Oreochromis niloticus: one gene and its partner. The protein of the gene in region 1 binds, or shares a complex with, the protein of each later gene. Links are inferred from orthologs where the notes say so. Each region holds a gene or a part of one and is shown in the gene's direction. Other genes may lie near its edges.

Region 1 (10,501 bases):
TTTATGAAGGAGAAAGGTACACCCATAGAAAGGATTCCCCACCTGGGCTTTAAACAAAGTGAGTTTACACTATTATTGCTTTTATATAAACACATTGTTATGTGTTTAATGTTATTAGAAAAAGAAGTAGATTATTCATGTGTGTGTGTGTGTCTCCCCCCCACTCTCAGTTAATCTCTGGAAGATCTACAAAGCTGTTGATAAACTTGGAGGCTATGATTCAGTAAGTACTTTATTTAGCTTCTGTAGCAGATGCAAAAAAGGCTTCACTGCTGGCGGGCTTTTAAGTGGAAATGAGCTGTAGGTTTAGGTGCTAGAAATGCAGACAGCGACGCTGTCAACATATCGCTCCCCATGCTCTGTTTTCTTTGATGTTGACACTGTGGCATAAGTTGTGAGAGTGAAACTCATAATGAAATGGAACTAGATCGAGGCTCGTGTTGACCACTGTTGCTTTGTCCCAGGTTGTAAATACACCAATATGAGCCACCTACGTTAGCACAGGTTTAAAATTGAAAGTGTAATTTCAATACCGAAAACCAGCAGACATGGCATTTAAAGGGTAAGCAACCACTGCCCTTCCTCAAAAACATTTTTACAAATAGATCTATAAGTAAATATATTAGGGTCCAAGCACCTGAGGTACAAAAATGAATAAATTAATTCACACAAGCGCTGTCTGCTAGGTGTTACTCTGGGTCAAGTCTCTGACTTGGACCTTTTAATCACGCTGTTGCTGCCTTGGTATGTTACACAGAACTAATACAGGGGTGGACAATTAACTTTTCCAAGGGGCTCCATGATAAACTGGGACTTCTGTGGAGGGCCACACCTTCACCCGAGTCCTATTTTTAGCCCGCCCTTTCAAAGAATTAATATCGAGCAGAACTGACTCCACCTTATTGGTGAATTCCTTGTTTCTCAGTTTCTAATATACCCCCTTGGGAAAATGAATTGCCCGTGCACTAACAAGTGGCAGTGCACGCATACCTGCACAGATGGCACTCAAGCATGTTGTTAACTGTCCATCCTCTTGCCCAATTGTGATTTTAATTCTGTCTCCAAAAATAAATAAATACAAAATTGAGGATTTATGGTTTGAATGGACCAGTAGGTGGTTACATCCATCTTTTATATACAGGCTATGGTTTCATGATAGAAACAGCATAAAAATAGGATACCAGATACTGCCATCCTAGTGGGAACAGTTTAAATAGTGTAATGATTTTTAACTCTTATACACGTTCATTTTTGTCAACAGGTGACAGCACGACGCCTTTGGAAGAAAGTCTACGATGAGCTGGGAGGAAGCCCCGGTAGCACCAGTGCAGCTACTTGCACTCGCAGACATTATGAGAGGTGAGGATGACTCTGTTTCTCAAGAACCTTTTTTGGTTCAAACACTATAAGATCAGCTGAGACTCAATTTAAACTGTGCTGCTTATGTGACAGGCTGGTGCTTCCCTTTGAGAGGCATATAAAAGGAGAGGAAGACAAACCCCTGCCTCCAAGCAAACCACGAAAGCCATACAAGAGAAATTTGGATGGCAAGATGACTAAGGCAGAAGGGAAGAGGAAAAGAACTCATTCAGATAGAGACATTGATTCAGAGGTAACAAATTATAACTCTGACAAAACACCTAATAGAGAAGTGTTTGATATATTGTGTTCTAAAATCCCTCCTCCTCTATGCCTTTCAGTTACTCACCCAGAGAAGTCCAGAATCTTCCTGTCAAAGCGAAGCAGTAATTCATCCTCACTCTGCTCTCTGGGCTGACAGACACCACACTGAGCCAAACAGAGCAGCCAGTAATGTCTGCCCTTCTGTTTACCTTCTCCCCACATCCAACCCGTGGATTGCTCAATTACCGACTGCAGCCGGAGAGGTCATCTCTCCTCTGGAGAAAAAAAAGCGAATGGCTCAGGCTAGCCTCAATTTGCCGCCCAGTTCTCAGAGCGAGGATAAAGAAAGGCCCTCCGTCATCCACTGCTCCCAGTCTCCAGCCAGGGCTTCTTCCAGCAGAAACTGCAACTCCTCTGATGGCTCCCCACTCCCTTTATCCTCCTCCTCTTCCCGCAGCCCCTCCCCTTACTCTGTTTCATCAGAGGAAGGTCCAGCAGGAGGTGAAGATAAAGCTGCATCAAGCTCAGAAATGTCCCAAAATGCTTCTGTCAAAAATCCATCGGGCTGCAGTGAGGATAGCAAGACTGTTAGTAAGACACACAAAGAACCTAAAGGACAGAATAAGGATGTTTCTCAAATCGGCTCTGACTCGATTAAAAACCAAGTTAACTGGAAGTCCAACAAAGGAGCAAGTAAACATTACCCTCTTCCTTTCCAATTACCCACCTCATACTCTGTGAAATCTGTCTGGGCTCCAACATCTACCTCTAGCTTCACCAAAGTTATTCCAAAACCTGGCAATGTTCTACGACCCACTCCAGTTCGGCCAAGTTACAAAAACCACACGGGCAGGTTGCTTCAGCAAGACGACTCTCTGACTTGTGCAAAGAGGATGTCTATGTGGTCCTGTCAGACAGAGAAGAGAGAGAAATCCAGGACAATGCAACAGAAAGTTCCTCCCGCTCAGCAGAGCCTGTCCTATTCCGCCGCCACCCTGCCATTGCCCTGTGTCCTGTCAGGCTATGAGAAAACAGCCAGAGACTCCAGGCACCAACCTCCCCTGCACCCTTCATTTATCCCCAACAGAATGAGACTACCTCCCTCTCAGCTAATGTACCGCAATGTGCCAATGGGTCCACCTCCCTCTGCTCTCATCGGATCTGCTCTTTACTCTTACCCCTACCCCATTCCTCTGTTAAATCCCCAAACTGCATATGCCATTCCTGCCATCAATCCCATTTACCCTCAAAAGTTGTGAGAAAATCACAATGATAATCACAAAACAAGACAGTGGGTTGTTGCTCAGTGGAGTATTGTTGAGGCCTCCTTACATATGTTTTAAACATTAAAAATTTTCAAGTTATTCCTGCTGAGTGACTGTATGGATCCTGGGGATGAAGTCCGAGCAGTGATATCTACAAATATTTATAGGAGCCAATGAATCATGTTGAAGACTTGCTGTCCAAGTGCACCTGAGTGGTGTACTACTTAAAAAAAATTACAATATGCAATATGTCTTTAGCTGCTACACTAGGGTCAAATAATGTAATCTGTATAATATAAATTTTGGAAAAACAGATTACCATCGGTTATTTTCAGTTTTGATTTCTTTAGATTTTATGTAGTAAATGTTAATGATATGGTGTTATGATTATTAAAATGAATTTTATATTCAATTCAGGTCAAAATGAATGCGATATTAACCTCCTAGGACCTGCCGTCCACATATGTGGACATCACATTTTTGGTTATTTTGACCAAAATACTCAATTTTGCTTTACATGGGCCTGATATCCACTTACGAGGACATTATACTGCTACTGTTCTATCAAAATTTTAAATGAATATCCTCATTTGTGGCTCTCATTTTTCTTAAAAACAAAAATAAGGTAAAAAAAAAAAAATCTGGAAATTCTTTGTTTTTACATTCATTGGGCCCCAATATGCCCAAATATCAAAGAGAAATTAAAAATGCATGTCGTGGAACAGTTCGGGTCTTAGGAGGTTAAGGTTATCGTCAATTGCACAGTTTCAGTATTTTGTTTTTGAAAACAAAAAACTGTCTAATGTTTCTTAAAGTACTGTAGTTATGTCTGAAGATTATTATTATTTTGAATGAATGTTGGTCAGTGTATGATATTAAAAAAAAATTATCTATATTGTTCTCATGTTATTCAAGTGTATTTAAACAAAAGACTAAAGCAGCCAACAAATAAAGAGAAAACATGAAAACATCTTTGTTCTTTTTGTTCAGTTCAACAGTTCAATCACAGCACTGTAGGATGGTGAAAGATGAAAGCTTTAGCATTAGGCCCTCTCCTCAGCCTTCTTGATATGATGTTCTTCTGCTTCCCTGGCCGCTGTATCTGTGGGGATGCTGTTCGCTCTTTGTCGTAGCGTCCTGATGACACACAGTTTGTGCTCCAGTGAGTGATGAGAGTCAAACCTTAAATACTTTACGTTACCCATCATTTTTTTAAATGTCCCCCATTACTGATGGAAATCTCACAGTCTAAGAAGGCTGTCATTTTTCATATCCTCCCTGGTGAACTTGACGTGTTTCTCCACCGAGTTAATGTGATCAGTGAATTGTGGTACGTCCTGAGATTTGATTTTCAACCAGGTGTCATCCACATACCTGTACCAACGACTTGGGCGTGTTCCAGGGTAGGATAACAGAGCCCTGTTTTCCACTTCTTCCATGTACAAGTTGGCCACAATGGGTGAAACTGGGGAACCTATGGCACACCCATGTTTCTGCCTGACCCTTGTATGTGAAATAGGTGGAATGAAGACACAGTTCCAAAAGCAAACACACTTGGGCGGTGCTGAGAGTGGACCTGTTGCTGAGGTTGGGGTCATCCTGTAATCTCTTACAAACTACATCCACTGCTTCAGGGACTCGAACACAAGTGAAGAGAAACATAACATCATATGAGACCATTGTTTCATCTGCCTCCATAATGACATCTCTAAGCTTCTCAACAAAATTCAAAGTGTTCTGGATGTAGCGCTTAGAGCTGCCTACCAACGGGTTGAGGATCGAAGCCAGAAACTTTGAGATGTTATACGTGACTGAGTTGATCATGCAGACAATTGGTCTAAAAGGTACGCCCTTTTTTTGTATCTTCGGTAAACCATACAGACTTGGTGTAGCTTCCCCTGGGTGTAGCCTGTGGTATGAGGTCTGGTCAGCAGCATTGTCTTAATCTAAGTGCTTGACACATTCTATGACCCTTTTCCTGTAACCACTACCTGTGTCTCGATTCAGAGCCTCATAAGTATTTTTGTCAGTGAGCAGTGACAAATTCTTCTCAATATAGTCTTTCTGTTATTTGTGTTTGCTGATGTGCATTAAGGAAACTGCAGCTGTCTGAGGCATGTGGTGAGAGCTGCAACCTTGCAGGTCTGATGTAGTCCAGATAAGTTCAAAGGATGCTGATAGCGTGCAACACTGAACATCACTATGGTGGCTGCAGTGCAGGGAAAAAATATGAAAGAACTTTGAAGCAAGTGCAATGAGGAGTGACGAGAAGGAGCAAATAGGACAAATGAGATACTGCAGTAAGGCTGTCTGAAAGAGCTGCAATGAGTGAAGCAGATGATCTCTGAATTCACACTAATGAAACTGCAGATTAAGAGCCCAGATAACATGTAGATCTAGCTCCCAGATTGGATTTTGAAGACAGAAACCATCTCTACTTTTAAGATTAGGTTTAAAACTTTCATTTTTTGATAAAGTATATAGTTAGGGCTGGATCAGGTGACCCTGAACCCTCCCTTAGTTAAACTGCAATAGGCCTAAGCTGCTGGGGGGCTTCCCATGATGCAATGAGCATTTCTTCTTAACTCAACTCTATTCACACTCTGTGTGTTTATATGCTGCTTTGTATTTAATCATTAGTTATTTTTAATCTCTGGCTCTTTTCCGCAGTGTCGTTTTTGCTTCCTCCCTCCCCACTCATCCCCGACCACTCACGGCACGGCCTCCCTGAGCCTGGTTCTGCCTGGGGTTTCTTCCCATTAAAAGGGAGCCGCTTGCTCATAATGATTCATCTGATTGTTTGAGTTTCTTTTTATTGGTTTAGAGTCTTTGCTTTACAATACAAAGCACCTTTACTGTTTACTGGCAACTGTTGTTTTGGCAATTAAATTTTATCAAATTGAATGACATGCTGACTTAGGAAATCAAACTGACTTCTACGGCATCAGTTATTTCTTTGTGTGTTTGTAATAATCACAATCTTTTGGTATTTCTTGAGTGAATATGCCGTACCCTGTGCTGTCACTGTCTTTTATATAGTGTCTATTATATTATGTCTATTAGTGGTATAGGAAACATTTCTATGAGGTTTTTCTAGATCATAATTAATGCTTGAGTTATATATTTGATAGTATTAGCAGTAATTATCTGTAAATATATAAAATATATAATAAATCTATATAAAGATATCTCTCGCAATATAAGCACAATAACATAACCACTAATTATGATGCGTGAAAACGCCATAGAAATGCTTCTCCCACCACTTTCTACCACTCTAGCATTACTTACAACAATCTTCAGCAACATGCAATATTTTGAGTGTATTGCTCGTATTCACAGCACGTGTTATATAGATTAGATTCCCTCAGTTTTGTATTTCAGGAAAAACCGGGCTCATTGAACTTTTAAAGTTTGCGCTCCTGTAGCAGAAAATCCTCAACATCCCCGATCAATATCCTTCCTGAATGTCTAGAAACTAATTTACTGTCTTTTATTGAATGCTCCGTCCAATTATTAATAAAAACTATACTAAGCCTACGAGAAGGCTTGCCTGACAAGCTAAACTCAGGTAAATGGGCACATTGTAAATCTCGCGAGAAGAATCCCAGTGGCGCGAATAAACAACGAGTTTTTCCGCTAACTTGTGGCTGCTGTGACAGTAGTAGTCGCATTGGTACATTTTCCCTCATATTATTCAGTTTTAATTGCTCTGTTTTTATTATTAATTTATTTTTAATTCAAGAGATATTCTGCGTTTTGGTGAAACGTTGTATTTTTACTGAAAACCATGTCGGACGCTTTGTCTGATGACGGCAGCGACTTCAACCAGGATGACACCCAGGAGGATGTTATGACCCCGGCGGAGCTGATCGCTAAACTGGAAGAAGTAGGCCAGATTATTCCCCTGACGTGCAGACTCTTCACCTCTATTAGATATTCAGCACCGTCTTCACTGTTGTGTCCGTGTGTGTCGCCCACAGGCTTGGCTAAATGAGAAGTTCTCACCGGAGCTGCTGGAGAACAAATCAGAGGTGGTGGAGTGTGTGATGGAGCAGCTGACTCATATGGTAAACTACCCGGGGAATACCTCCTGCGGTGTGGGTTGTTTCTAATGTTCAGCAGCATGCATGGTTATAGTTGAGTTTCTGAATTGCAAAACAGCAACTGAAACGCGAAGGACTGCAACCTATGAGAATGTGCATGACTGATTCAAATGCAGCAGAGGGAAAACTATATACAGTACTGTGCAAAAGTCTCGAGCCACCTCTCACTTCTTTATGTTTTGCTATGATGTAGTGAAATTGACATGCAGAATGTAAGGCAAAAGAGTTGGTACAATTCTAATGAGCTTGAAAGTCCATATTCCGTATGACCACCTTTATGTTATACACAGCCTGAACTCTCTCGGGCAAGCTTTCTTGTAATTTCTTTAAGTAATCTTCAGGAATTGTTCTCCAGACTTCTTAAAGGACATTAAAAGCTCTTTGATGTTGGCTGCCTTTTGTTCTGTTCTCTGTCAACATGATCCCACACTGCTTCAATAATGTCGAGGCCAATCCATGACTGATAGTGTTCCACTGTGTGGGGTTTTTTTTTTTGTTTTTGTTTTTTATGTTTGGGGGGTTTTTTTTGTTTTTTTTCCCCATCCAGGTATGCTTTTACTGCATTGGCAGTGTGTTAGGGATCATTGCCATGCTGAAAAATGACTTGTTCAGAAAAGAACCTGTCCAGTTTGCACAATTTTATTTAATGGCACACATGCTGAGATATACCAAGCTGATTCTCAATGGTTAGTAGCTCAGTGAGAATCATCTTGTTGGTGTAGAAATATAATTTCATACCTGTAAAATGTTTTTTTTCTTTGGCATTTTTAATAGATTCAACTAAAGGATTGAAAACAAAGAATGTGTTTTTTGCTACAGGCTCCCAGTAGCAAAGTCCCTAAAGTAACACGTTAAAATAGCTTCTTTGCTAAGTTGTCTGTTGTTTTTGTAGACGCATTACTGGCTTTTCCTTCGAATTCGGTACCTTTTCGTGCTCGGATGATTCATAGGTCAATGTTAAGTGTCTTAACAAACAACAAACAAAAGTAGGTGCATTCCACCTCTTCTAAACTGTGAATTTTGCTTTTTTTTAACCCATAAAAAGCAAAGGTTTGTAGAAAAATACCCATTACAATTCACTAGAGCTCAAAATGCCACTTTATACACACAAATTAATTTATTTTTCAGTTGGAGTTTAAAGAAAGTAATTTACTTTTCAGTGGGTCAAAAAACATCATCAAATGTTCAAAATATAGAAGTTGAATTCGGGAATATCTGAGATTTCTGCTTTTTGTTCATTTACTTGAATTATTACAAAAATGTTTTAATTTCTTCTGTCACCTGACAGATCAGCACTTCATTGCTGGTTTTCTTATGATTTAGTTTTATTAGTATGGATAAATTGATCTATAGGAAGACCTGCAATTGATATCAAGACTTTGATGGTCATGTCAAATGTAATGTGGTGGCTTCAAAATAAAATCTCAAACAATTCAGGGCAATGTGGTTTGCTCTGTGGCAAACTACTATCTAAAGCTGCTGCCTGTCAGTAGGACCTTGATTACATTACTATACATCCAGCTGTGGAGATTCATTCAGTTCAGATGATTAGGATGGTATTAACACTGTGATATTCAAACATATCCCAGGGCTGTTGCTTTTCTGGTCATTCTGAGTAGACCTGAATAAAAGGACCCTTTAATTTCTGACAGTTTTGTCACCAACAGGAGTCCAACTTGCAGCGGGTGAAGAAAGGCGATGCAAAGGCCAGCATCCATCGCATGGAAATAGACAGGATCCGCTACGTTCTCAGCAGCTACCTGCGCTCTCGTCTGCAGAAGGTCGGTTGGGTCAGCGCCACAAAACTGAGTTTTGTCTCACTTGGTGGCTGTTGGTGACATATGCCTCCCCTTTTGTGCTGTTTATGTCTAGATTGAAAAGTATTTCCCACATGTCTTGGAGAGAGAGAAGTCTCGGGGTGAGGGCGAGCCGTCTCTGCTTTCGCCTGAGGAGTTTGCTTTTGCCAAAGAGTGAGTGTGCTGGAATAAAGTCGTTTAAACCGCTGCGGTTCTTGCAACACTTGGGGTTTTTAAAAAAAAAAAATCACACGCCAACACATCTGGCTTGCAGGTATTATGCCAACACTGAAAGCTACCTAAAGGCTGTAGCACTGAAGCGCATGCCATCCAACTTACAGACTGTGGATATGATCAAAGCAGGTAAGGTGTCATTCTGTGTCTAAAATGGTGATACTATTAGCCCATGTAGACAGATGGTGACGTTTGCTGTGACATTTTCACTGACCATTGCACTCGTTTCACCACTGTGTATCCTAATGTTAGTGCCTGAGCCCTGCCTGGACTCCTTTGTGTTTCTGCGAGTGAAAGAGAGACAGGAAAACATCCTGGTAGAGCCTGAAACGGAGGATCAGAGGTTTGTTTGTCAATATTTCTCTTTATGTGCTATTATTTAGGCATCCAGTAGGTGGCAGTGTTGCCTTCTTGCATTCACTAACCTTTTTCTGTATAGATACTAAACTGATAAAATCTCCACTGTGTCTCTTCTATCAGAGAGTATGTCGTGGATCTCGACGAGGGCTCTCAGCACCTAATGCGTTATCGAACTATAGCTCCACTTGTGTCAAGCGGAGCTGTGCAGTTGATATGAATGAAAAGGTCAGTACCAGCGAGCCTTGACTGAGCCATCTTTGTCATTAACTCAATACTGCCCTCACACCCTCTTCTACAGGCATCTAATAATTCATTTCTGCAGCTCTTACATAAGCCGTGGCTTTGCGGTGACATCTGGATTTATTTTTAGCGCTTACTTTTTTCTCTTTCCTTTTTTCCCTTTTTGAGTGTTCATTGTCTCTTGGCAACAGATAATAAAAAACCAACATTGAAATTTTAAAGCACCATGATGTGTTTACAACAAATTTTAGTTGTCTTCTCTAAACTAAACTACAGTTAACAGTCAAGTGCAATTAATATTGGTCTTTTATATGTTGCAGGTTGCTTATTACTGTGGATCCAGGAGACATTCCTGAAATAAAGACTGCGCAGAGATCACATCAGGAAGCATGCCCTTCATCCTCACCTTTCATCCAGAATAAGGACTGACTTTTAGGATGTAAATATAGGGACGTTTGTAGCACCATGGCACCAGAATTTAATTCTGTGGGGGTGGGGGGACACAATCGAGGTCACTGCCAGCGGGAACTAAAAGCTGCGGATGAACCCTGTTTACTAAACTAGGTTTTTGCAGCGCTGAGTTTGTATTTTTGGATCTTTTTAATCATGTCATGATATATGCTTTGTTGTGTAGTACGTTGGTGTGCGTGTGACTGATAAAGACAGCTCTGTCTAATCTGTTTATTCATTACTCCTCATGTTGCTCCATCCAAATGATTCATGTTATTGGATGATTTCTCAGCTGCTCGATAACCGGATGCATCAGATGACCCGACGGTGAAATTTCATCAGTTCACTTGGCATCATAACGCCTTCCATCCCGAGGTGCTCATGCTAGATGTGCATGCATCTTTGCAAGATCAGGGTTTGTTTGCTG
Region 2 (10,524 bases), on another chromosome or scaffold:
GAGGGTGAGATGGTTGTCTTGACACCAGTGGGTCAGGGCGCTGACCTCCTCCCTGTAGGCCGTCTCATCACCGTTGGTGATAAGACCCACCACTGTAGTGTCGTCCGCAAACTTCACAATGATGTTGGAGTTGTTAGTGGCCGTGCAGTCGTAGGTGTAGAGTGAGTACAGGAGAGGGCTCAGTACACACCCCTGTGGAGCACCAGTGTTCAGTGTGATGGGGGATGAGGTGATGCTGCCCAGTCTGACCACTTGGCGTCTGTCAGACAGGAAGTTAAGGATCCAGCTGCAGAGGGAGCTGCTCAGTCCTAGATCCTGCATTTTCCTGTCCAGCTTCGAGGGAACGATGGTGTTGAATGCTGAGCTGTAATCTACAAACAGCATTCTCACATACGTGTCTCTCTTCTCCAGGTGTGACAGGGCAGCATGGAGTGTCAAGGCTATGGCATCATCAGTGGACCTGTTGTGGCGGTATGCGAACTGTAGAGGGTCCAGTGAGTCGGGTAGTGAAGAGCAAACGAAGTCCCTGACCAGCTTCTCGAAGCATTTGCTGACGATGGGGGTCAGGGCCAGTCGTTCAATGAGGAGATGGTGGAGGATTTGGGTACAGGGACGATGGTGGCCATTTTGAAGCAGGCTGGGACTACAGACAGAGAGTGGGAAAGGTTGAAGATGTGTGTAAACACTCCAGCCAGCTGAGCCGCGCATGACTTGAGGACGCAGCCGGGAATCCCGTCCGGACCAGTAGCTTTGCGTGCGTTCACCCTCCTGAAGCACTTCCGCACATCCTCCTCAGACACAGTGTGCGCGCTGACGTCATCCGCGGTGCGCACACTGTCCGGTCTCATGGTGTTCGCTGTGTCGAATCTAGCGTAGAATATGTTTAGATCCTCACACAGTATTTATTATACAAGTGTGAGTATGAACTTGGTATAGTTTCCTTTTGGCATGATAACCATGGGTGAATCAAAATGAAAGTACTGAGGAAAACTCTGGTCTGTGTACTCTGGTGATGCCTGAGTGAAAGTGTGATAGTCCTGTGGTTTATAGTGAAGACTCAGGGGTGAACTAACAGCCCTGTTTTACTGCCAACAGTGGGACAAACTAACACTGCTGGAATGGCATCTTATTTTCATGTACTGGACATTTAAAATATGTTGTATTAAAAGTCTCTTTAGATATAAAATATGCTGTGAAAGAGGATCCTCTGCACTCCCATGGAAATCTTACATATTCATACTCTTTTAAGCTTTAACAAATATTTTTAAATAGATCTTTTTTTATATATTAATATATTTAGTATGTGATCTCCTCTTTGGAGACCTTTACTTTTACTTACTTAGACTTAGGTCCTCCTGCGCCGTTCAACGCATTGGGCGGCAAGCGTCCACCAACATATTCGATCGGCTGTGGCTGCTTCGGCCTCATCCCATGCAATGTCTATGGTGCGTAAGTCATCGATGAAGGTCCTCCGCCATGTTGTACGGGGGTGGCCTGGTTTGCATCTTCCATGGGGTGGGTTCCATGTGATGGCAATCTTGGGCAGTCGATGTGGGGGTTGACGTAGAACATGACCTCCAAAGCGCACACGCCACTCAGTCACAATGTCCTGCAGGGGACGTGTGGCAGTTCGATGGTGTACTTCTTCGTTGGTGACATGGTCCCAGTAGGAGACCCCCAGGATACGTCGTAGCCATTGCTGCTGGGCCACATGGAGTCTTTTTGTGATTCTGGCTGATGTTTTCCACGTCTCACAAGTGTAGACTGCGGTAGGTATAACGATGGAGTTGACCAGGCGAATCTTTGTCGCCAGAACGATCTTTGGGGTCAACCAGATCGGCCGGAGCCGCTGAAAGACCGCACCTGCTTTTACAATTCGACACACAACATCATGCTCAGCATCTCCATTACTTGCCAGGATGCTGTCCAGGTAGGTGAATTGATTCACCTCCTCCAGTGGTTGCAGTCCTACCGTAATGGAGTCCTGTGTTGTCACGTAACCTATCCTCATGACCTTGGTCTTGTTTCCACTGATCCATAAGCTTGCTTTGGGTGCCTCTTGCGCCAAGCATGATGTCATAGTAGTCATGTTTTTCCGGACGTCAGCCACCAAAGCAATGTCGTCTGCAAAGTCGAGGTCCTTCAGGTGTGCTGGTGGATGCCAAGGTATCCCAAAGGCATCTTGGTCCATGGCACTCCGCATAACAAAGTCAATGGCAAGAAGGATGAGGAAGGGAGAGAGGATACACCCTTGCCTCACACCGGTCTCAATGTTGAAGAAATTCGTGAAGCCACCCTCTGTGCGGACGCAGCAACTGGAGTGAAGGTAGAGAATTTGGAGTTTGGAGACCAGAACTCTGTATTTCTGCACAAAATCCTCAGTATGGAAGTCCTTCACAATCAAAAAGACGTTTCACCAGTAAAATATTGTTGACTTGTTTCTGTATGTGATATTGACAGTTCCATATAAAATATTTGCGAGGACAGTAGTTAGTCAGTAGTAGGAAGGACCAACCTGTTTATGAAAGGTCAGGGCACATTCATAAAACATTAACACCACCTACTTTTTTAAATAGGAAGTTTAGGATAAAAATCCACGTATTATCTTTCAGAAACATTTTGATCCAATAATTTTGATAATCTGATTAAATGAAGGGAAAAAATGTTGTGGAGCTTATTTCTTCGCTTAACACCACTTTGACATAAAGAGGAAGTCTTTAGCCAGCTAGGAGCTACATTTCATTCGAACATATAAAATCACCAGGTCTATGTTATCATCCATCAAGCTTTTGTCCTCCACTGGGATCAAAACTCCCAAATATTTAACAATATTTTTAACTAGGATATTTCTGTATTAGCAATGTTTTTTAAAGCAAGAATTTCAAAATTATTTAAATTAAGGTTTAAGCCTGATTTGTGTCACTGTGTTTGAGAGAGTGGAAAAGCACTATCCATATCAGTCCATTTACCATTAATACAAGCACTTTTTTCTTATATTTACATGCTTTTTATCTAACAGTCACACACATTTGTACTCAAATGGATGCTTCAGAGAGCAGCTTGGGGTTATTTATGCAAACAGGGATCAAACCACTAAGGTGACCCACTCTACCTCCTGAGCTACAGTCACCCCAGTGACAGTGACTTGTGTACATTTAAAGATAATGCAACTAAATTTATCGTGGATTATTGAAAGGTTTAGATTTTGGCTTACCGCTAAGAAGAGATGGGACGGCCATGATAAAATTCCCCTCTTAATCTGAGTGATGGCAGTTTCACTGATGATAAGGTCTTTATTGCTTTGATTAAAAAAAAGTTATCAAATTTTAAAAAATTTAGGGTTAAAGATAAAATTGTGGAGAACTGTAGAGAATAAAGAATAAAATCAGGTGACTGCCAACAAGCCATTATTTGTAGTTAACTAGCTCCAAAAACAGGTGAATATTATTGAGATATGAATGCCACTCATGAATCCACAGTGGGATTCCTGAATTCTTTTATTTGGATCAGTGTTTCAACGCTTTGCTAATATGAAAATCGTCATTTTATAATCATTGTTGAGTGTAATTGGTCTCCAGTTATCAAAACATAAAGGATCTTTGTTGGTTTGGGGAATTAAAGGGAGATGTCCTTGCTTTAATGACGGGGACAGTTCTTCTTTTACAGATCGCTTCATTAAAGAGAGCAGCTATACATTTAATTGGTAAATTGACAGCAGAAATATCATTATTTTTTCTATTTTTGAGCTCTTTTTATGTGCTTATGCAATGGCTATCTTTCTCATTTAAAACCTTAGAAATTCCCAGTATTTTCCACATTCATCACTTGTTGAGGCCAAATTCCAGGACTTTCCTATAAGATCCTTTATATCTGATATGAGCTGTTCGCTCTTCAGAAGTGAGCTAGTCTGAGCCTAACCCCTTCTATTGTGCCACTTACTGATATTTGGTGTCTGTGTCACAATTTTGTGGTCTTTCAAAATAGCAGGAAAAATTTCTGCCTCCTTTATATTCAGTTCAAGCTCTGCTTAAATCAACCAAAACGTGATTATAGACAGAGTACTAGAATCTTTGGATGTAAGCTGTTTCCACAGCGCTGCTCTGACCACTCTCTTTCTCACCAAAATGAAGCTTCTTCTCTTTCAGGAAGGAACTGTTGTTTGCTCTCTTTCAGATGTTTCTCACAGAGCAGAGGATGATGATTGCACATGGCTCGTCTGCCCAGCGTGTGCGTCACATCAATCATTGCCTTCTGTCTGAGCTCGGTAGCAGCTTTCTGACAGAATCAGGATACTTTTTGTCTCACGTCCTGTTGTCTTGTTCATTCTCATCGTACAGATGCAGACGCCATCATTTTTTGTAGCACTGTGCTTCAGATAATCTGTTACTGATATCACTTTGCTGTTTTTGAATATTTTCTCAAGAGCTTGTTTTTCTCTTTTGTTAATGCCATTAATTTCTTCATAAACAAACTAGTCATGTTTAAGCTTTTCTATCATATTGGGACCATGTTTTCTAGCTTGTTTGCCTTGTTTACCTCGATTGTGAGAACACTGATTATATTAGTCTGCAGCTCGTGAAGGGACAGGGCATTGGTGTTCCTCTTTTTGACCCCTGGCCTATTTTGAAATTCTAACCAGGAAGAAGGAAACGGGTTAAACTGGACCACAACAGTAAAATCTAAGAAAATAAGATGTATTTAATTTTATATGCCATGGGACAGATTTACTAAGTGAGGCAAATTATTGTGATGTCACAACTGCAGTGTGGAGCAATTTATAAACAATTGGTGCAGTAAAAGCACTTCAGTAAGAGCAGTGCAAAATACTAGCTCAAAAATCCAGTGTAAGCTCATGACTGGACCTGGAACTGGGGCTTGCTGAGCCTTGGCCCCTTTGGGACATGGTCATGGAGGGAGTGGTTCCCTCTTCCTACCGCTTTCCGCTGGATGATGCTGCCCCAACCTGGGATGCAGGGAGGGGCAGCATCCAAGGGAGGGATCAACAGCACGTGGCTGGATGTTCTGGTGTGGTTGTTGAGCCGCTCCCTTGCTGGTATGGGATGGCTTGGACCTCTTCCTTGTTAGGGGGCTCTGGCTCAGGTGCTGGCCAATTCTTGGACGCCTGGAGCCCTGGGACCCTGTTCTCGGCTCGTGCCACTATCCTTTTATTATATTTTCCCTTATTTCTTCCCTCCTTCTCCCTTTTATTTCTCCTCTTGACTGTCCTGCCTTAGACGTTGTCATACTATACCACACATAATGTAATAACTGAAACAACACAAAAAGAAACGAATAAATAAACTGATAAAAGATACACGTGAACAAGAGGAGCCTATAGCGAATTTATACAGCTGATCTTGAAAAGGAGAACTATACTCACTCGAGAGGATGATACAACCATGTTGTTCCCTCTATCTGCAGCTGAGCACTGGCTGGCTTTTCCCCACAGAAGAGTGTCCAGCATGTAACAACAGATTATTTAAACCATATACTAACCTTTACACGCTACTGTATAGTGTCTGCAATGATAAATCACGTTTTCAAGTTTGTTTGTTTTTAAAAAAAAAAAAAAATCTACTTCATCTGAAAACAAAATGCAGGTATACAATGGAAGCCCAAATGTCCCAGTTTAACACTGGAACTTGAAAGCAGCTTACATTTGTAGATCTATGCGAAGCTGGCGACGTTAAATTTGTCCCCTCTAAGTCCCGCCGGTACTCGTCACTGTCATGATATATAGCCGCTGCAGTATTCTCCTGGATGATAGGCGTCGCCACTAAGACAATATCGCCACATAAGCGCTGACATAGGAAGAGAAGAAGTCAAAGCCGGAAGTCAAGACTTTGACTAGTGTTTTTCTGAAAAGTTCTTTCTACAAACCCTCAAGTTTCCAAACTGTTCCAACATCTCCTTCTGTATATGTCTCTGATTATTATTAAATTGTTAATTTAAATTATACAATTCAAATGCAGTAAAACCCGATACGACGTCACATCCTGACGTACCATAATGTCCAAAGTTCCCGATGAGTAAAGGCTCCAACAGACACAATAATTGCACTTAACTCTGTAGATTATTATGTATTTATTTTTAACGTGTCACAAAAACAAACGTGAACAAATGACGTCCGTTTAGCTCCGACCTCTTCACAGCCATTAACACGCGGGGACTCTTTACGTCAGCACGCTACGCGCCAAATTTGTACAGCGCAGAAAGCGCAAAACAAAAACAGCCGCGGGTCCTGCCCTTTCTAAAGGAAACAGCGCTAAAAGTGGATTGTTTGGGGCAAACTGCATCTCCACAGGATGTCGGAACACTTTGGATACTCACCCAGCTTCAAGCGGCCTGCGGAAATTTTGCGAATGAGGCGCAAAAGAGCCCGAAGCGAAGCCGGGGCCGGGTCCACAGACAGCCCCGAACAAAGCGGCTCATCTCCGACGTGCGTACGGACTTTCTCCCCCGAACCGCTCTCCGGCGCCCAGAACCATTTCGGGGTTGGAATAAAACGCAGGAACCCGTTCGCAAAAATAGAAAACACTTACAGTCCTAAGAAGAAACGTCTAACTTTTAACGACGCCAGCTGTAACACCGAAAACTCCGATAGCTCCGGGATCGCAAACAATGAGAGAGATGAAGAATCATCGAAGAGAGAAGGCACGCTAGATCTGGCTCTCAGCTTCAGGCTCGATGAGGCACAAGAACAGGAATACCGACAAGCTTCCAGCCAGGTTGGTCTCGGTCCTTTGCACTGTCGTCAGGAAGCTCCTGTTTTTATGTGGTAGAGATGTAAACATGAGGGGAGAAACTATAGGACCCCCTCTTAAACGCCTTACCTTTCTTGTCTGTGTCCTGCTGTAGAAATCTGGATCTCTGTCTGAGAGTGATGTGTTGTTGGAAGAAGAACCGGAGGATATTAAAAACCCACTGCTGAAGGTGGGAATTTATTCTGTGTGTTTTTTAAATGCTGAATGACATATCTGTGAGAATTGTCACTTTTTCCCAGGTTTTCTGTTGTGCAGTGTATAACCGTGTATTCAAAGGATTCCCCTCTGTCCTTCTAGAGCCCCCAAGCCACTGCTCCCACTGCCGTAGCAGCTCCTGTGTGCACCCAGTATCCAGCAGACTGGAGCCTAAAGACTCGTCTCCTCCTGACCTCTCCGGTCTCCCTTTCATGGGCAGAGCAGCTCAAGGCTCAGGAAGAAGCTCAGGGGCTCAGCCAGCACTGCAGGGCACAGTTCAGTCCCCTGCCACACAGTCCACAGGTAGGCTCATTGCATACATGTGGAAGATGGACAGGCGCACAATAGTCACTGTGCATTTATATGTTGCTATGGAGACGCTAGTGACACCAGTTACAGCTCTCCAAATAAATATTTTTTTCAGCACTTGTTGAGCCCTCAAAATTTCACGACTTTTCGATTTTAGACCCACTTCAGATGTTTAAATCTAAAATCTTGTTTTTTATTCAGCCAGATTTTTTTTTCTGTAACCAAATTAAAAATGATATCACAGAATAGCAGAGATGATCAGTGTGACAGTTTCCATGCAAACCTGGATCAGTTTGATGATTCTGAGTCTCAGTCTAAAACAAAGATACGCTTCTTAATAATTATTATTTATAATAACAATGAAAATTGCAGGTCCCTACTGTCATTAGTAGGGATTTTGTATATATGAGCTTCTTTAGCCAGTAGGCGTGGATGATGTCAGGGCCAGATGCTGCCCAACGCTTCATGCTTGAGACTCTTTCATGGATGTCTGCCGCTGTGATGCTTACTGGATCCCGTTCAGGGAGGCTGCTGTGGTTCGCCCGTAGATCCACTAAACACTGAGCATTGCTGTCATGGGTTGTGTGCTTCTGCTGTATACTCTTCCGATATTGCTCCATCTCCAGCACCTCACATCTCAGATGATTTGATTTTCATGGCTTCGATGTCTCAGGTGTACCTCTTCAAGCTGCTAGCCAAGGCTGTGAGTCTTTGCTTGGCAGTTTCCAAGGCCTCAGGTGTGACCAGCTTGCTGTACTTCTTAGACATCCCTTTCTTCATCACACCTTTCTGCAGCTCCAATACTTCCCTCTATGCTGCCTTGATCTTGGCCTCTAGTTTCCTTCTCCATGGAGGGTACTGCTCCTTGTGGGTGCTCATCTTGTTCCCAAACATCTCACTGATCACTGCTGTTGTGGGGTAGATCAGTTGGTTGGTTTCATTGATGACCACAGTGGTGATTGTCTGTAATGTTGCATTCACATCGCACGGGGGCTGCACGGCCTAAAGTCCTTTCTTTTTCTCAAAAATCGACGGTATGCCTTATGTATGAATTCTGGTTGTGCTTACTGACTGCGAACCGATTTTATGTGATACACAGCGCTCAGCAATCTGTCAAAAAATGTTTTAGTGCGACTTTGCTAAGCTACGGCGCTGCACCGCTTGATGGATTGTCGGAGGATTACAGCTACCGTAGTCAGGAGCCTCGCGGAGTGATACGTACTGTGCTTCAACGTAATATTACCGTATTGTGTGTGTATAAGGACCATAAATGGCTCCTGTTCAGAGACATGGTTACAAAGAGGATTTCAAACTCCAGGCTGTCAGTCACGCAGTAGAAGTTGGGAACAGAGCAGCTGTGAAATCTGTCTATGTTATTATGCTCAGCGTCTGTTAGTTTACATTTTGACTGCACAGTTGTGAGCTCTTTGTTATGCACAAAAACAACAGTTTTATTTTATTTCTGGAGTAATATTATTATTGAAGTAGTAATTTTTTCATGTACATCTATGCTGTATGTTAAAAAAGTGTCTGTGTGAGATCTGGGACACAGCTTTCACTTAGAACTCTCTTTTTGTTCTTACTTTATGGCTTTAAAAAAATATCGAGATATATATTTCGTCATCCAGCTAAAGAATATCGAGAAATGAATTTTGGGTCATATCGCCCAGCTCTACTTCACATAGTCTTCGTAATCAGACCTCTCAGGTCAGCTGCTCTTTCAAATCTCTAGTTGCAATAGCAGTTGCTTCTTCTGCATGTTGGAACACTGAGCTACTAGTTATTTCACCATTAGGTTTTCATACTTGTGCTTATCACACAAAATGCATGTGTGTATTTGTTATTAGTCAATACCAGATGACAATAAAAGGGAAACAATGGATGGGTTGGTCCTGTGCGTCAGCTTAAGAGCACCAGAGTGAACAAATCAGCTCCAGAAGTATAGAACTAAGTACACATGTGTAAAATCTGTAACATATTGTGTCGTTAAATAGTCTCGCCTGTTACTGTTATTGTTACTGTACTGGAGCAACTGTAACCCACATGATTTCCTTAAGTATTAATAAAGTATGCTGATCCCGACAGCTCTTAGTTTGTCTTGGGTTCTTCAGTAGCTTGTTCCTCAGCCCGACCTGTCTCTGTGCCTGCTATAGGATCCCAGGTCCTGCTCAGAGCTACGTTGTGCCTTCCAGCAAAGCCTGGTCTACTGGCAGCATCCCTCCATACCCTGGCTGTCCCTGTTCCCTAGGATCAACGCTGAAAGGAGCTTCTTTGGCAAGAGCGCCCCCTGGGCTCATGATGCAACGCTACAGCAGAGTCTCATGACAGAATGGTGAGGCTGATAGGGTGACAAGGTTTAACTGCAATGATTTCATTTTTCTCTCTGTCCTGATTTTAAATGAATCAAGATGTGATTGAATCACAGACTTTCAGCTTTAACTCGACGGATTTTAATAAAAATATTGTTTGTTTAGGAATTACAGTCATTTTTATGACTGACAGGTGGTTTCACTGATATGTCCTATTGATAAATGAATCATTAAAAAAAAAACCTGAACTTGATTCTAAGATTTGAGATCTTTACACTGGAGGTCTGAAGAGATGTAGGTGAAAGAGGTCATTGTTAGGCTGAGTAACCCCAATATATCTGTCAGAGAGAGAAGGAAGTTACGACCTCCTTAGACTGTGTTTTAGTTTCAGGGACTTTTTTTTCCAGCGAGTTATCAGCTCTGTCACAGTTAGCTAACACAAACGCAGTCTGTTAGCAGCAACCAGCTAACCATCGGACCCAGTGACATCACGTTCTGTACTAGCACTAAACATGTTTAAACACTTCTTTCCTAAATCCAGCTTCACAGATGGTGTTAAATCTCACACAGCAGGGTTGCACATTAAATGAACCTTTGTACAGTGAAGTGTTTCATGGCCAAGTAAGAGCAGCCACACTAGGGCTGTTCGATATAACGATATATATCGGATGACGATAGAAAAACGTCTATCGTTTCATTTTACGCTATCGTTTGTTTCGTGGTGTCGCAAAATAAACTGTTTACGGCAATATTTTTTCATCATTTTGATGGTCACTGTAGTGGCTATATTAATTTCTTAAAGTTCTCTCTTTCTCTTATATTTAATATAACCACACTACTGACGGACAAGCGCTTGTTTTTTATGCGTTGTCGTTAGCAACAACGACGGTAAAACCACGGCGTGTCCGCTTGTTTATTTTCCACATAAACCTTTCACAATAAAGCTC

What was found.
Region 2: the proteins of gins4 (region 1) and donson are in contact, whole or in part, in a cryo-EM structure (PDB 8Q6O), measured with the Xenopus laevis proteins. The link is inferred for Oreochromis niloticus from reciprocal best matches to the Homo sapiens genes GINS4 and DONSON. Residues at the interface, in NP_001084702.1 of Xenopus laevis: Leu19, Thr20, Pro21, Cys51, Glu54, Gln55, His58, Asn62, Arg65, Ala66, Lys67, Lys72, His76, Asn179, Leu181, Pro184, Thr186, Asp187, Glu188, Tyr192; in XP_041437004.1 of Xenopus laevis: Tyr8, Ser9, Pro10, Ser11, Phe12, Lys13, Pro15, Ser16, Ile18, Leu19, Ser22, Thr167, Arg168, Arg245, Arg469, Val471, Glu488, Thr490, Tyr518, Thr519.

Annotation. Positions count from the first base shown.
Region 1 is NC_031977.2:13,060,517-13,071,017, forward strand, and holds the start of gins4 (DNA replication complex GINS protein SLD5), read left to right. Parts: upstream 1-6,499; 5' UTR 6,500-6,678; coding exon 6,679-6,777; intron 6,778-6,871; coding exon 6,872-6,958; intron 6,959-8,661; coding exon 8,662-8,775; intron 8,776-8,866; coding exon 8,867-8,964; intron 8,965-9,064; coding exon 9,065-9,153; intron 9,154-9,276; coding exon 9,277-9,367; intron 9,368-9,504; coding exon 9,505-9,601; 3' UTR 9,602-9,609; intron 9,610-9,944; 3' UTR 9,945-10,501. Other genes in the region: arid5a (AT-rich interactive domain-containing protein 5A), read left to right, coding at 1-58, 171-223, 1,262-1,359, 1,453-1,612, 1,701-2,882. UniProt on the Homo sapiens protein: Required for correct functioning of the GINS complex, a complex that plays an essential role in the initiation of DNA replication, and progression of DNA replication forks.
Region 2 is NC_031986.2:3,397,010-3,407,533, reverse strand, and holds the start of donson (protein downstream neighbor of son homolog), read left to right. Parts: upstream 1-6,032; 5' UTR 6,033-6,305; coding exon 6,306-6,728; intron 6,729-6,858; coding exon 6,859-6,933; intron 6,934-7,061; coding exon 7,062-7,262; intron 7,263-9,421; coding exon 9,422-9,600; intron 9,601-10,524. UniProt on the Homo sapiens protein: Replisome component that maintains genome stability by protecting stalled or damaged replication forks.